Linked DNA regions of Notamacropus eugenii. The protein of the gene in region 1 binds, or shares a complex with, the protein of each later gene. Links are inferred from orthologs where the notes say so. Each region holds a gene or a part of one and is shown in the gene's direction. Other genes may lie near its edges.

What was found.
Region 2: the proteins of RASIP1 (region 1) and RAP1B are in contact, whole or in part, in a crystal structure (PDB 5KHO), measured with the Homo sapiens proteins. The link is inferred for Notamacropus eugenii from reciprocal best matches to the Homo sapiens genes RASIP1 and RAP1B. Residues at the interface, in NP_060275.2 of Homo sapiens: Val147, Lys149, Ala156, Ser157, Gly158, Ala159, Asn160, Tyr161, Lys162, Ser163, Val164, Leu165, Glu181, Arg182; in NP_001010942.1 of Homo sapiens: Val24, Gln25, Asp33, Pro34, Thr35, Ile36, Glu37, Asp38, Ser39, Tyr40, Arg41, Glu54, Leu56, Phe64.

Annotation. Positions count from the first base shown.
Region 1 is NC_092876.1:12,681,560-12,688,456, forward strand, and holds the start of RASIP1 (ras-interacting protein 1), read left to right. Parts: upstream 1-3,878; 5' UTR 3,879-4,015; coding exon 4,016-4,288; intron 4,289-4,391; coding exon 4,392-4,531; intron 4,532-5,560; coding exon 5,561-6,300; intron 6,301-6,808; coding exon 6,809-6,897. Other genes in the region: IZUMO1 (izumo sperm-egg fusion protein 1), read left to right, coding at 253-286, 678-995, 1,149-1,223, 1,313-1,399, 1,907-1,927, 2,105-2,185, 2,290-2,390, 2,667-2,823 and 2 more. UniProt on the Homo sapiens protein: Required for the proper formation of vascular structures that develop via both vasculogenesis and angiogenesis.
Region 2 is NC_092874.1:245,866,586-245,874,047, forward strand, and holds the start of RAP1B (ras-related protein Rap-1b), read left to right. Parts: upstream 1-4,462; 5' UTR 4,463-4,787; intron 4,788-7,462. UniProt on the Homo sapiens protein: GTP-binding protein that possesses intrinsic GTPase activity. Contributes to the polarizing activity of KRIT1 and CDH5 in the establishment and maintenance of correct endothelial cell polarity and vascular lumen.

The DNA of each region.
Region 1 (6,897 bases):
ATGGGGGGCCGTCCGGGGTCCGAGGAGAGGGCAGCTGTCCACATGGGAGTCTCCTGACTTGACTCACACTCGCCGAGCCCGATAAGGGCTTAGAGATCGTCTACGGGAGCTCGGGGAGGAGAAGGAGACGGAGACGGTCCTGGGATACCCGTCCCGCCCACTTTTCCTGTTTGCTGTGGGACTACAGCTCCCAGCAGCGTCTCGGAAGCGGTGGCCTTACCGAACGACCGCGTCCCCGAGGCGTGGTGACTTATGGGCAATGTAGTTAAAGTGACTCACCTGCAAGGTGGGTGCTGGCCTTCTGGGACGAAGCGACAATGCTAACCCTTTCCCAGTCCTTCCTTCCCTCCGAGGAAATAAGGGGCTAGGTAGAAATAAAGCGAGTGGTAAACCCTAGCCCCCGAGTGACGCTCCAGCCTCCGGTTTTATGGTGCTTTGGAATCTTTTCTATCTTTGAGGGTCACTTCACAATCAAAGGCTTAGGAGGGGGTCCCCTTTATATTTAGGGGAACCCCCTCAGTTGGAGGCTCTTCAGTTTCAGGATGCTTTGAGATTTTCCTCATCCTAGGGGTCCCCTTACATTTTCAGGGCCCCTTCACTTTGAGGTCTCAATGGCAGGCAGAGTTTGAGGGTCCCTTGGAACTCACAGGCTCAGGGTTTGTGACCATTCCCTTTAGGGACACGCCCAGAGGAACCTCGTAGGGGATTCCCTCAGGCTGTGATGAGTTCCACCAGCATGAGCAGTCTCCTACGCCCCGCGTTCCCCCTGGGGTTCGTGGTGTTGGCCCTGACGTTGAGCTCGCGCCGAGCGTGGGGATGCATAATCTGCGATCCCGCAGTGGTGGCGGGACTACGAGAGCTGGAGCAGAACTACCTACCCAGCCACATGGAAGTGGACCCCCAAGCTCTGCAGACTTTAAAGAGCCGGCTGGAGGAGACTGTGCGCCAATTCAGCGAGCTGCCTTTTGGGGAGGACTCCTACCAGGGCGTCATAGGTGAAGAGCGGCCCCCAGGAGCCAGGGCACCTGCCTGCCCCTCAAGCGCACTCCGCGGACGGCGATGGGGTGGGGGCGCTGTTCAAGGGGAAGGTCTGGGTCAGCCTGGCTGAACGCCGGGGGGCCTATTCCGACCTAACCACCTTTCTGCAGATGAGCCCACGCTGAACAAAGCGTCCTGGGTCTTCCTGAAGGAGCTGAGGCGAATCAGAGATAGCGATCTCAGAGGTGGGTTTTCGCTAGGGGCTCCAGGTATCAGGTCGGAGAAGGGGGAGTCCAGGGAAACTCACAGACCGTGCGCCCCCTACCCCCTGCAGACAATTTCCTCTTGAAGGAGCTCACCTGGACGCTGCATACGCAGAAGGAGAATTTAGCTCGCCTGGTAACGGAGTTCCAGAGGGAAAGTGAGGAAGAGCCCTGAAGTGTCTGGCTCCCCCGCCGGGCCCTCCTCGGGCAGCCCTCTGGCGTTCTCTCTGCCCCCACCCGAAGCCCTGAGCCTATTGCCAAGACCCCAGCAGAGTTTCAGGCTATTTGCTTCCGCACCGTCAGGGATCCCGGCTCATTCGAGAAATCCCTCTCCATTTCCCCCCTTCCGCTCGGGGAGCCCTATGACCTTTGCAACACTTCATTTGGGGAACCTTGTGCCCTTTGCCCTCGCCCCATCGGAGACCCCAGCGCCTTTTGCCCTGAGCCTGAGCCTCTTTCAGGGGCTCAGGGCTCTGGTCCCTAGCCGCACTCCCTCCACGATCTCGGGACTCCAGTGTCCTCAGGGAATTGGAAGCTTCCTCTGAGGTACCCTCCCCTCCCCCCGAGGATATAGGCCCTTCGTTCCCAAAGTACAGGGTCTTTTGCGGACCCAAGCACAGACTCGTCGGCCCTTAGGTAAAGCCCGGATCTCTTCTTCCCCACAGGTTTTTGTCCCAACAAATGCGGTGAGCGCCTGGCCCTCAGTACCCTTCTCTCCCCTCCCAGCCTCAGTTCTGCAGCCCCTCAGGGCCTGGTCCTGTGGCTTTGCCCCCTCAGGATTTGGTGACATCTCCCAGCCCCCTCCCCCGTTCCTCGCCCTTACCCCTCCCCCTCCTTTCCCCCCCTCCCGCCGTCCCTCGCAGGCCTCATGATGCAGACCCTCATCTGGTGTCATGGGTGTGAGAAGCAGGTGCACTCCTGTCTAAAGTCTTACGACTGCGGTGGTGAGCGAAGTCGGAAGCTGGGGAGGAGGTCAGAGGCTGGGGTAGGACCTCATCACTAAGGTGCGGCTGACTAAGTCACACTAATGTGTCACTTCTATCTACAGAACAAAGCGTGCGAGTGCATGAGAACGGGGACATGGTCTTGGACTGCGAACTGAGTTGGCATAAAGCAGCAGAAGGGCTCACCGACTACACATTCTACAGGGTACTTATTCCCAGATACCTGAGGGGCCCCACGGACTCCGGGAGTGGGGCCTGCACTACCTTCGGGGCAACCTTCCCCCTCGGACTCTTCTTGGTCCCTGCGTGATCCAGGGATCCCATGGCCCCCATTTGTGACCTCACTGCTTCCGGGCCCCATGTCGTGCCTGGCCGTCGGTATGAATCCTAGAACCCTCGGCCATCCCACGCCGCTGAGGATCCCAGTCTGGCGGTAGAGCTACCTGACCCTTGCATGTTCATCCCCGGGGTCTGGGGCCAGGTCTGGCCAAATGGCTCAGAAGTCCTGATAAGTAGCGGCCAAGAGGCCGCTCTGACCAAGCCCATGGTGTCCTTGGAAGACTCGGGGGTCTATCGCTGTGTCTTGGGAACCGTCCGAGAGCAGAACCCAGCCACAGTCATCACCTATCACGTAAAGGGTCAGCCTTCTTTCTCCCAGACCCACCTACATGCTAACACCTGGGGGTGGGGTCTCAGGAAGGGTTCCAGGGGATAGGGTGGGACGCGTGGTGAGGGGCGGACCCTGAATGGGCAGGAGCTAGCGGCTAGCCCCTGGGGGCGGGGCCTGTGAACTGGGGCCTGGGTCTGGCTCCTCCTCACCGACCCCTCCCCGCAGTGATTCCTGAAGAGCAGGAAAAATTCGACGACTTCGATTACGGTCAAAGGCCCAATTTTAGTCCCAGTTCGAGTACTGAGACAAGTATAAACCTGAATCCGATTGTGCATCCGAGTCCGAGCATACCGACCGGTCACTGGACTTTCCCTGGTCACAAGCCCCGCCCCACAGTTGACCAGGAGTCCGATAGGGAAGAAGAGTCCTCTACGACTTCGACTTCGATTCCGAGGAAGACGTTGACTCCGACCACAAAATTACCGCCCGAGGCTGAGCCCGGCTTGGGGGCTGAGCCCGGCTTGGGGGCTGAGCCCGGCTTGGGGGCTGAGCCTGGCTTGGGGGCTGAGCCTGGCTTGGAGGCTGAATCCGGGCCGTGCACTGGGCACGGAGATGTCTTCGCGGACTCAGGCCAGAATGCCGCCAGAATCCTTAACATCACCCTGATTGGGCTAGTCGCTGGTGGGGCGGCTGCAGTGCTGGGGAGCCTGGCGCTGACGTGAGCACTGGGCGCGGCCAGACCCGGTAGTTACCACCCAGGCCAAGCCAGAGCTGGAGGGGTGGAAGCCTATGGGGCGGCGCCACCCGAGAGGGGATAGGGTCGAAGGGGCAGGGCCCGACAGGCTACCCCACCAGCATGGGGTTCACGGGTAAGGGAAAGGTTTCAGCCGCAGTCTGCCTCACTCTCTCCGGCCTCCCTTCCAGCCTCTATTGCGCCCGCAGAGCGGGCCTAGACCTGAACCGGGCGGGAAAGTAATGCCAAGGGAATCCCAGCAGCCAGTGTTCCTGGATGGAGCCGTCGGCCCTGGAGTACCGAGGTCTGGGGCACCCCCTACCCTTCAGTCAATAAAAATGTCTCCTCTTTCTTTGCGTCTGTGACTCAGTCCAACAGCTCAAGTCTAGGAGGGGACTCCTGGATGCTCAAGGGCGCGGGCCTGGGTTCCAGAGTGGATTAGGGATCCAGTCACTTTCGATCCTGAGGGAGATGGTATTAGGCTTGGATGGCTGGGTCCCCAAAGGGGAGGAAATTGAAGAACCAGAGAACGGGCCCAGCGCTGGGGGGCGCTGGACGCCCAGGTCGTGCCCGTCCTAGCCGGGCTTCGCTCCCCTCCCCCCCCTCCCCTGACAGGACGCCCCCTCCCCGCTCTTCCTGCCCGGCTTCCTCTTGCCTTTTCCTGTCCTGTTCCCACCCAGAGCCAGGAGCACAAGGATCCAGGCGGGAGCAGGACCCAAGCCTCACCTCGGGAGCCACAGGCCGCGGCCTCGGGAGGAGGGTGAGTCCCTGGCGCACAGGGCCTCTAGACCCTCTGGAACCGCGGTGTCCCCTCCCGATGCCCTCTCCCGCTTGAGAATCCAGAAGGTCTTATATCCACGCAGGAGATGCTGTCAGGAGAGCGGAAGGAGAGCGGGAGCCCCCGCTTCGGGAAGCTCCATCTCCCCGCCGGCCTCTGGATCAACTCCCCACGGAAGCAGCTGGCGAAGCTGGGGCGCCGCTGGCCCAGCGCGGCCTCAGTAAAGTGAGTGGTAGCCCCCCGCCCCGACTGAGGGTTCCCATATCCCCTACGTCCTCGCCAGCCTTCCAGGGATCCAGGTGGTTAGAGATCTGAGACCCCACCCCTTCCTGCCTCAGACGTCCCTGCAGGCTTTCGAAAGACCCAGACTGCAGGGGGATTTGAGCCCCTCCTAGGAGCCCCACCTCCTTCTTCTCTGGGTCCCAGGAGTCCATTACCCTACCTCTAACAGATCAAGGGGCTGCATCTTCCCTTCTCCCAAGTATCAGGGCCCCCAGAAACCCAACTCCAAGCTTTAGCGCGTCTGATTCCCCCTTAGTCCTCCCCGCTCCCACTCTTCATGTCTCATGAGTCTCCCTCTTTTTCTTCTCTCCTTTCTGTGTGTGTGTGTGTGTGTGTGTGTGTGTGTGTGTGTGTGTCTGTTTCTCTCTGTCTTTGTCTCTATGTACCTCTCTCCCCCCTCCCTCTTCTCCTCGCCTCTTCGGATCCCTTTTGCCCCTCTCTTCCTTCCTCCACCTGTCTTCTCTGTCCGTCCGTCTCCCTCTCCCACTCTGTCCATCTCCGTCTTTCTTTCTCTCTCCCTCCGGCCGGCTTTCTCTCTCTTTCTGTCTCTCTGTTTCTCTGTGTCTCTCTGTGTCTCTCTGTTTTTCTGTCTCTCTCTCCCCTCCCTCCTTCTTATCCCCGCCTCTTTGTCTCCCTTTCCTCCTCTCTCTTCCTTCCTCCGTCTGTCTGTCATGTTTCCCTGTCTCTCTGTCTCCCTCTCCCACCTGTCCATCCTCTCTCTCTCTCTCTCTCTCTCTCTCTCTCTCTAACTCTCTCTCTCTCTCTCTCTCTCTCTCTCTCTCTCTCCTCTCTCTCTCTCTCTCTCTCTCTCTCTCTCTCTCTCTCTCTCTCTCTCCCTCCCCCCCTTTCTTCCCGGGCCTCTGTCACGTCGGGAGATGCCGTGTCTCCTCTCCCCCGGCTCGTTCTGCCTCTCTCTGTTTGTCTCTTGACGTCTCTGTGGCTCTCTGGTCCGCGCATCCCTGGCATCCGCAGGTCTTCCTCTTCGGACACGGGCAGTCGCAGCAGTGACCCGGCGCCAACCTCTTCAGGTCACTCAGGCCCGGAGCTGCGTCGCGTCGGGGCTGTGAAGGCCGCAGGGGGTGCCTCTGGGAGCCGGGCCCGGCGCATCTCCCAGCTGTTTCGGGGCCCAGGGACCGGGACCGGGGGCGGGGGCGCTGCCGGGGGCGGGGCGGGTCCCGGTGCTGGGGCTGGGGCTGGGGCCCAACGCTGGGCCAGCGAGAAGAAGCTCCCGGGCTTGGCTGGAGCTGTGGGCCCCGAGCCTCAGACGGCCTCGTGGGGCCTCCCGGGCTTTGGCGGCCCCAGCCCTGCCCCGGGCGTGCTGAAGATCTTCGGCTGCGGCCTCGCCTCGGGCACCAATTATAAAAGCGTCTTGGCCACGCCCCGCTCCACTGCCCGCGAACTGGTGGCCGAGGCCCTCGAGCGCTACGGACTGGCGACCGGAGGGCTGCCTGGAGGCGGCGGCGAAGGTGTCTCTGGGGGAGGAGCCGAGGCTTTCGCGCTGTGCGATGCTCTAGGCCGGCCACCCGCGGCCTCCGGAGGAGCTGGGGAGTGGCGGGCAGAGCACGTGCGGGTCCTGGGCGACTCGGAACGCCCCCTGCTGGTGCAGGAGCTGTGGCGCCCGCGGCCTGGCTGGGGCCGGCGCTTCGAGCTGCGCGGCCGGGAGGAAGCGCGCAGACTGGAGGAGGAGGGTCCGGCCGCTGCCCAAGAGGACGGTGAGGGCGGGGCGGCAGGTGGGAGGGGCTTTTTTCTTCTCTTGGAGTGTCGGGTTTTCTGAGTCTCAGTCCTGTCTGTCCTCCTCCCATTCCAGACCCCCAGCCTTTCTTTCTCTGGGTCTCTGTCCTGTCCCGGACCCGCAGCCTCTCCCTGCTACTCTCTGCTCATTTGTCCCCTCCGGGTGAGGGGCTCTCTGAGTCTCTATCCTGTCTCCTCTCTCCCGGTCCCGGACTCCCAGTGTCTCCCTGGGTCTGTCTCTGTCTTAGTGCCGGGTTCTCTGAGTCTTTGTCCCTCCCACATCACGCCCTCCACCCAACCTCTCCGTCCTGGGGTCTCCGTGTTTGTTTGACCAGTCTCCCTGGGTCGCCTCTTTTTGTGTCTCTCCTCACTTTGCACCTCGATCTCAGTGGCTCTATCTGTCCCCACTCCTCCTCGCTCTCTGTTCGTGTCTCTACTTCTCTGTCTCTCACTGGGTTTGCATCTTTCTTGGTGTCCATGCCCCTGCAGGCCTGGGAGGTCCATCGTGGCGACCCCCGAAGAGCCGATCGCGGGCAGCCTCCGGCCCGGGGCCGGGACCAGGGTCTGGACCAGCCCCC
Region 2 (7,462 bases), on another chromosome or scaffold:
AGGGCTCCTGTGCCAATCCACATGTTGGTAACAGCTGGTCAGCAATTGGCGGAAGTGATGAAGAGGGTGAGCTCTTCTCCACAATGATTTCTTCCCTCAATCCTCAGTGCCTAGCATGGTGCCAGGCACAAAGTAGGTGTTCGTTGATCTATATTTCCACTTATAATCAGACTACCAAATGCCCAACACTGCACCTTGCTTATATGCACTCAATAAATAGGTGTTGATGGTATGGCATTAGTCATGTGAAGTTACAGAGATGTGGTTCTTGTCCCACTGTAGTTCAACCAAGACAGATAATACTTTTACTGTCTCATTCCTGGGTCACACTTGTGTAGAAGGTAATTACTGCAAACAACTTCAAAGAAACAGTGTAACTTGAGAAGTTTTCTGTGGTTATGTCAAACTTATTTGTAGCCTCCAAGTAAAGGTTGAATGACCTGTTGGGGGTGTTGCAAAGGTCCAGTCAGACTAGAAGAACTCCGAGGTTTCCTTCAAGTCTGAAGAATCAGTAATTCTATTCCTCTAAGGGCATATTTCAGTTGGGTATTTAGAATACACTTTCTTTGTCAAATTCCCACAGGACTGAAATGCTTTAGTTACCAAAGAATCAAAAGTGACAATTCAGTATATGGAATATTGCCCCAAATGCCTTTCAGAAAGTTTCCATTCATTCGAGTGGCAACATTTTTTTTTATAAGTGTTCTTTTGGGAAAAATAAATAAATTACTTCAAAATAGAGGTTTCCTATTAGAAAAGCTAGAGTGGTCAGCTATACATATGCACACATTTATATAACCAAAATTACAGAAAATTCACAATAATACACTTTCCCCCCAATACCTTAAAAATTACACTTAAAAAAAGTTCCAGTAATAATCCCCCCCCAAACTAGCTGCTATGGGGAAAACATGAATTTGCACATAGGAGAATTAAGCGGAACCAGGAAAACAAAGATAAAGTAAACTGAAGGCACAGTAGAATGAAACTGAACACTTTATAAAGAAATGAATACTTTATAAAGGAAATCACTAAAATTACATTTATATAGCACTTACTATACCAGGCCTTGTGCTAAGCTCAATTACAATAACAAAATGTTGCCCATAAGAAATAAGACAATGTAACTCTCTCCTTTCATTAGAGAACTTGGGGACTATGATATGTAACTGTTGAATATACAATCAGAAAAATCTTTTGCTTTGGATTATTGTCATTTCATTGCTATTATTTTACACCTACACCCTCTCCCCTCCATTCTCCTTTTTTAGAAAAGAAAATCTGGCAGGTTCTAGTCTTTATCTCTGTGATTAACGGATAGAGATTTGGGGAAAGATTTGGATTTCTATAAAGGAAGAAATATCAAGTTCCCATAAACAGGAGAGTCCATAAGCTAAAAGAAAAAAACAATAGGGGAATATTCCTCTAACCCTAGTAGGAAAAATTGAATCAACCCCTGGAAAAGAGGAACTGTGATATACCCTTAATCCAACAAGTAGCAGACATCTATATTTAAGAGTTCAAATTCTACATGTACAAATGTTCCACATGGGCATCTTTCCCTTATAACCTTGTACCTTTAAGGAAATCTCCACTCCCGGGTTAGTATTTAGAAACATGAAGTATTTGTGAATACTTGATCAAATAGCAATAAACAAAATGTTCTGGATCTAATTAAATAGGCTCCTGGGTCTGGCTGGCATCTACATGTTGTAGAATATACAATTATGGAAAAAGTTGAGAATGACAGCCTGGAACTGTGGGGTTAAATGTGTAATCTGTCCATATCAGTAGGTACCTTACAGGGGACTGGCTGATTGCCACTGAGATTGTCATGCACAAGAAACTCGACAGAAAGGTTCCTATAAGTGTATGGACCAGGAGATCATCAGGCAGTCTGGATGGACTTGTCAGGGCAGTTGTAGTGGGGAACCCTTCTCAGGTCTAGACTGGATTGTGGTATAATGGTTGGTAGCATATAGGGAAGGAGGGAAGGAAGGAAGGAAGGAAGGAAGGAAGGAAGGAAGGAAGGAAGGAAGGAAGGAAGGCAGGCAGGCAGGCAGGCTATATGCCAGGACTTTACAAATGCTATCTTATTTGATCTTCATAATAACTCTGGGAAGAAGATGCTATTATCATTCCTATTTTACAAATGAAGAAACTGTGACAGACAGAGTGACTTGACCAGAGTTGCACAACTAGTTAAATGTTTGAAATGGATTTGAATTCACGTCTTCCTTAGTCTGGGCCCACGCTCTATAATAATAGCTAACATTTATATAGTGCTTAACATGTACCTGGCACTGTTGTAAGCACTTACAAATATTATCTCACTTAATCCCCACAATAACTGTGAGCAGCTAGGTGACGCCAGTCCAGGAATTAGGAGGAGCTGAGTTCAAATGTGATCACAGACACTTACTAGCTATGTGTCCCTGGGCAAATCACTGAACCCTGTTTGCCTCAGTTCCTTATCTGTAAAATAAGCTAGAAAAGGAAGTGGCAAATCACTCCAATATCTTTGCCAAAAAAAAAATCAAATGGGGTCACGGAAAGTAGGACATGCCTGAAATAACTCAACAACAATATTGTGTTTACTATGTGCTAGGCATTGTGCCAAACACTTTACAAATACTATCTCATTTGATCCCCACAACCACCCTGGAAGGTAGATGCTAGCATTATCCCCAATTTACAAATGAGGAAACAGGTTAATTGACTTGACCACAGTCACACAGCTCCTTAAGTGTCTGAGTCTGAATTTAAACTAAGGTCTTCCTGACTCTAAACCCAGTGATCTATTTACTGTACCACCAAGCTGCCTGAGAAGAGCTAGGTTTACATCCTAACTCTGACACTTCTCTGACCCTTATTGTCTTCATCTGTAAACTGGGGATGATGCCTGATACCTAGCTCACCTGATTGCTGTGGGGCTCAAAATCAAATGATGTGAGAAAGGTAACTTTACATATTTTCAAGTGTATTTTTGTAAGTTTTCCTAAAACACTTCTGAGGTCTGTTCTGACTCAGATTCAGTGAGAAGACAGTGGAGGATGATAACATACTTCATCAAGTAAAGTAGAAAACCACCTGCCGACTAGTTTGTTTGAGAAAGCCACTCTGGCGGTAACTCATCTTCTCAATATCTCCTTGGTCTTAGATATCATCTTCCCTTGAGTTCAAGAAATGCATGGATAGCTTGAATTTACCAAATTTCACGCACAATGTGTGACCCTGGTCAACTCCTATAACTTCTCAGTAACCTTGACACATTTATAAATTGAAAAGCAGGATCCGATTTACATTGAGGGAGGGAGTTTCCTCACAGGGAGTTCCCTTACCCAGTACAATCAAAAGTCAAGAAAACCAAATCAATGCAACTTAATGTTCCTTTGGCTAGTGGAGGCATTGACTGTTTTTTATTCACCACAGACTTCTGGGAGGATATATCTGGAAGTGTAGTTGACCAGGTGAGGAGCTGATGTGGGATAAAACATTAAGACAAAAAGGATGTTACCTACCCAAGCCTTCATTTTAAGGACTCTCCAGCATTTTAACTACGATCTTACCCCATCTCACTAGCAACTTACTTACATACCTTACCTTTCTCCATTAGAATATATACTCCTTCTGGGCCAAGGGTTATCTTTTTGTTTTTTTCTTGTTTTTGTATCTCCAGGCCTTCACACTTGCACTCTGAACCTAGTAAGTGATTTTTGACTTGACCCAGATGTGGAGAATCTCTCCCCGCTTTAAGTGGGCACACTCACATGTCTCCCTTCCAAGTCTCTGCTAAAATCCCACCTACTACCGAAAGCCCTTCCTGATTCCCCCTTAATTCTGATGCGAATTATTTCCAATATATTCTTGCACGACTTGTTTGTATGTAATTGTCTCTGTTATTAGACTGCGAACTCCACATGAGGAAAAATGTCTTTTACCTTTCTATCCCCAGCAGCTAGCACACACGGTGCCCGGCACATAGTAGGTGCTTAATCCATGTTGACTGATTCCTTAGACTATGAGCCCCCAGTGAGCAGGGACTGTCTGTTACCTTTTCTTCCCCAGCTATTAGCTATAGGTAATTAGGTTTATTGATTTTTTTAGGGACCTCCCACTGTTAATTATTTCCAATATCTCCTGCACTCATCTCGTTTGTATTAGACCGTGACCTCCCCGAAAGTGGAGAGTGACTTTGGCTTTTCTTTCTGTCGTCCCGCACGCCCCATCCTCGCACTCAGCACACACAGTAGGAGTTTACTGAAGGCTTCTCACCTTCTCTGCTAGCTGGACTTGCGCTCCACGTGGATCAGACTCAGCCTCCCTCAATCCCGGAGGCGTGGGAGGGAAGGAGGGAGGAAGGAGGAAGGAGGGCGGGGGAGGAGGGAGGAAGGCGAGAGAAAAGGTCAGGCTCGTCGGCGCCCCGCCCCGCCCCGCTCCGCCCCGCCTCTTCTGCCTCGTTTCCCTTGTCCCTCCCCTCGCTGGCCCCGCCCCCTCCCGTGCTCCACGCCCTCCCTCTCCGCCAGCGGAAGGAACCGAAAGCGAGGCTGAACGCCTGACGTCAAGGCGACCCAGCCAAACCTCGCCCAGAGTCAGGCGTGGAACGAGCCGGAGCGGCGGCGGCGGCGGCGGCGGCGGCGGCGGTGGCAGAGGAGGAAGAGGAGGGAGGGAGGCGGCAGCCCGGCGACCCACCCGCCTTGGCAGCCGGAGAGCGGAGACGGAGACGCCGAGAGAGAGCCCGGCTCTGCGGAGGGGGCCCTCCGGGGGACTCGGTGGCAGCGCCCTGAGTGAGTGGGGGGCCGGCGGCGGGGCGGGGAGGAGGCCCGGGCGGGGCGCGGACGGGGCGGCGGGGCCGGAGCGGGACGTGCAGGTGGCGGGGCCCCCTCCGGAGCCGGGGAGGGACGAGGCGCCGCCGAGCCGCGCTCTCCCTGCGGAAGGGGTCAGATGTCTGAAACATGGCGGAGGAAGTGCGAGCCTGAGGAGCCCCCTCGCACACTCGCTCGCGCACCCGCACGCGCTCCCACTCCCGCTGCCCGTGGCAGGCGCGGGGCGGGCGGGCGGGTGTCCGCCTCCCCCCCGCGCGCCGCCGGGGATCCCCGGGCCGCCACCCCGGGCTGTGGGTGGAAGTTAGCGAGCGGAAACGAGAAAAGTTGTCCTTGGACCGGACGGGCCGTCCGCGGAGCCGGGGGTGGGGGTGGGGGCTTGAGGGGGCGGGAAGGTTCAGGGGGAAACCACTCCCCGGCCCCCTCCCTCGGGGCTGCGAGGCTGACAGGGAAGGGATGGGGGGGCGCGACTCGCATTTGTTTCGGGAAGTGGTAGGAGGAAGGCGGCCGAGCGAGCCCCACCTAGTCCGGCTCTGTACCCGCAGCCCGGGGAGAGGGAGGCGATTGATTAAAGGGCCCTTCCTCCCTGCCGCCGGGCAGGAAGCGGCCTCCTTGGGGGCCTGCCCGCCGGGGGAGACCACCCCGCCACGTTCCCGGGTCAAGCCAGGTCGCCCCCGAGCTCGGCCCAAGCAGCCCCTGCCCTCCCTGTGTGCAGCGAGCTAGGATTCTCCCCAGCCTTGAAATAGGTTATCTCGGACCGCCCCAGCAGAGCTGGCCCACTTTTTTTTTCTTGGATATCATCTCTGAGCAAAGTACTGCACTTTCAAATCAGTGTTAATATATTAAGTGCCTACTATGTGCCAGGCCCTGGAAATGCTCAGAAAACCAACTCCCGCCTTCCGCTGCTCAGTCCAAGGAGGATGCGATAAACTAGGATTATTTCTAGCCTTGAAGTAATTATTGAAAACTGCTCCAGCAGAGCTGGCCCACTTTTTTTTTTCCCCACCTAGATATCATTTGGAAAAAGTAGTGCACTCTCAAGTCAACAAGGACTTCATTAAGCATCTGCTGTGTATCTGGCCTCATGCTTGGTGCTGGGGATACTAAGAAAAGCAATTCCTGTCCTCAAGGAGACCACAATCTAAAGGGGATACAAGAAACTATGATTATTAAAGGCTTGAAGGGAAGTGGTTCTTTTAATCCATTGCTTTTTTTTTTCTTTCCGCAAATGGATGTCCTTTGGAAAAGTACTGAACCCTCAAGTCACCAAGCATTTATTAAGCAGCTATGTATATGTAGCAGGCCTTCTGCTAGGTGTTGGAGAAAATTAAAACCAATTCCTGTGCTCACAATAAAATGAGAATGCAATAAACTGTTCCTCTTCATAGCCTCAAAATAGCTTTTTTTTTAACTTAACCTCATTCTCCCTTTTCCTCTTAAATGGATGTCTTTTGGAGGAAGTGTTGCTCTTAATATCAGGAAAGTTTTAGTTTCTTTGGAGATCCACCACCAGGTTTCCACTTAGGTAAACTCCTTGCAAGTAGGAATTTTTTTTTGTTAGCCTGGCAGCTAGTAGACTTAATAGTTGTTGGTTGATAGATTTTGTTCAGTACTTTTTTCTTCCTCTTTAAATGTTACCAGTTTGTCCAAAAATTGATGTGCCAAGCAGAAATTAATAACCTCAGATTTTTATTTTTCCTTTAAATTAAGTCACACTATCTTCATTTTTTGTATCAAAGTGAGAATTTTGGGGAATTACACCACCCTGTGTTTGAGGGGTTTGCGGATATAAGTATAACTTTGTAAATGCATACCTCACTACTGGTGAGACCCCCTCACCCATTTGGTACCTATTTGCTTTTAACTACCATGCTTTGTGCCTTTAAAGTATTTGGAATTTCATACAGGTTGTCCTAGCAAGAAATGATGCACAAAAGAAAAAGAATACCTTTTACCCCGACTTAATGTCTCTAAGCTAACAATGTTCAAGGATTTCCCTTTGGACGTAACTTTGGTAGTCCTAAACTATAGAGCTGGAAGAGACCTTGAAGGTTTTATCTAGTACAAACCCCTCATTTTCCAGATAAGGAAAAGATACCTCTGAGTGAAATGACTTATTCAAGGTCATACATTGAATGCCTAACTTAATGATGGTTTTTTGTTTTTCCTCTGTAGCGAAAGGGACAGAATGACAAATTCTGTCTGACAGAAATGATACTTGAGTAGACTTGTGGGGTGGGGAATCGAAAGGTTGGCCTTGTATAAATTAGATCTTGTCAAGAAAAGCCAGAAATACACACTTCAGTCTTGATGTATCAAATCCTGTGGCCTTTCAGGCAGAGGTGACTGACAAATGAAATTACACATCAGGAACAGGTCTGAATTTGTGATTTTGCAATTAAGTTGGTAGAGGGAATTTGTGGATAAGGAAATGGCCTTTATTTATGCAAGTCCGCACTTTTTTTTTCAGCATAAGTGTTAGAGAATTGCCTAGAGTACTGAGTGGTTTAGGGACTTGCCCAGGATCACCCAGCCATTATGTGACTCCAGAGTCAGTCCTTTTTCCATTTGGCTGCCTCTGCTGATAGGGAAGGAAAGTAGCTTCCTATTTGATTCTGGGATAACTGCTAGCAACTTGT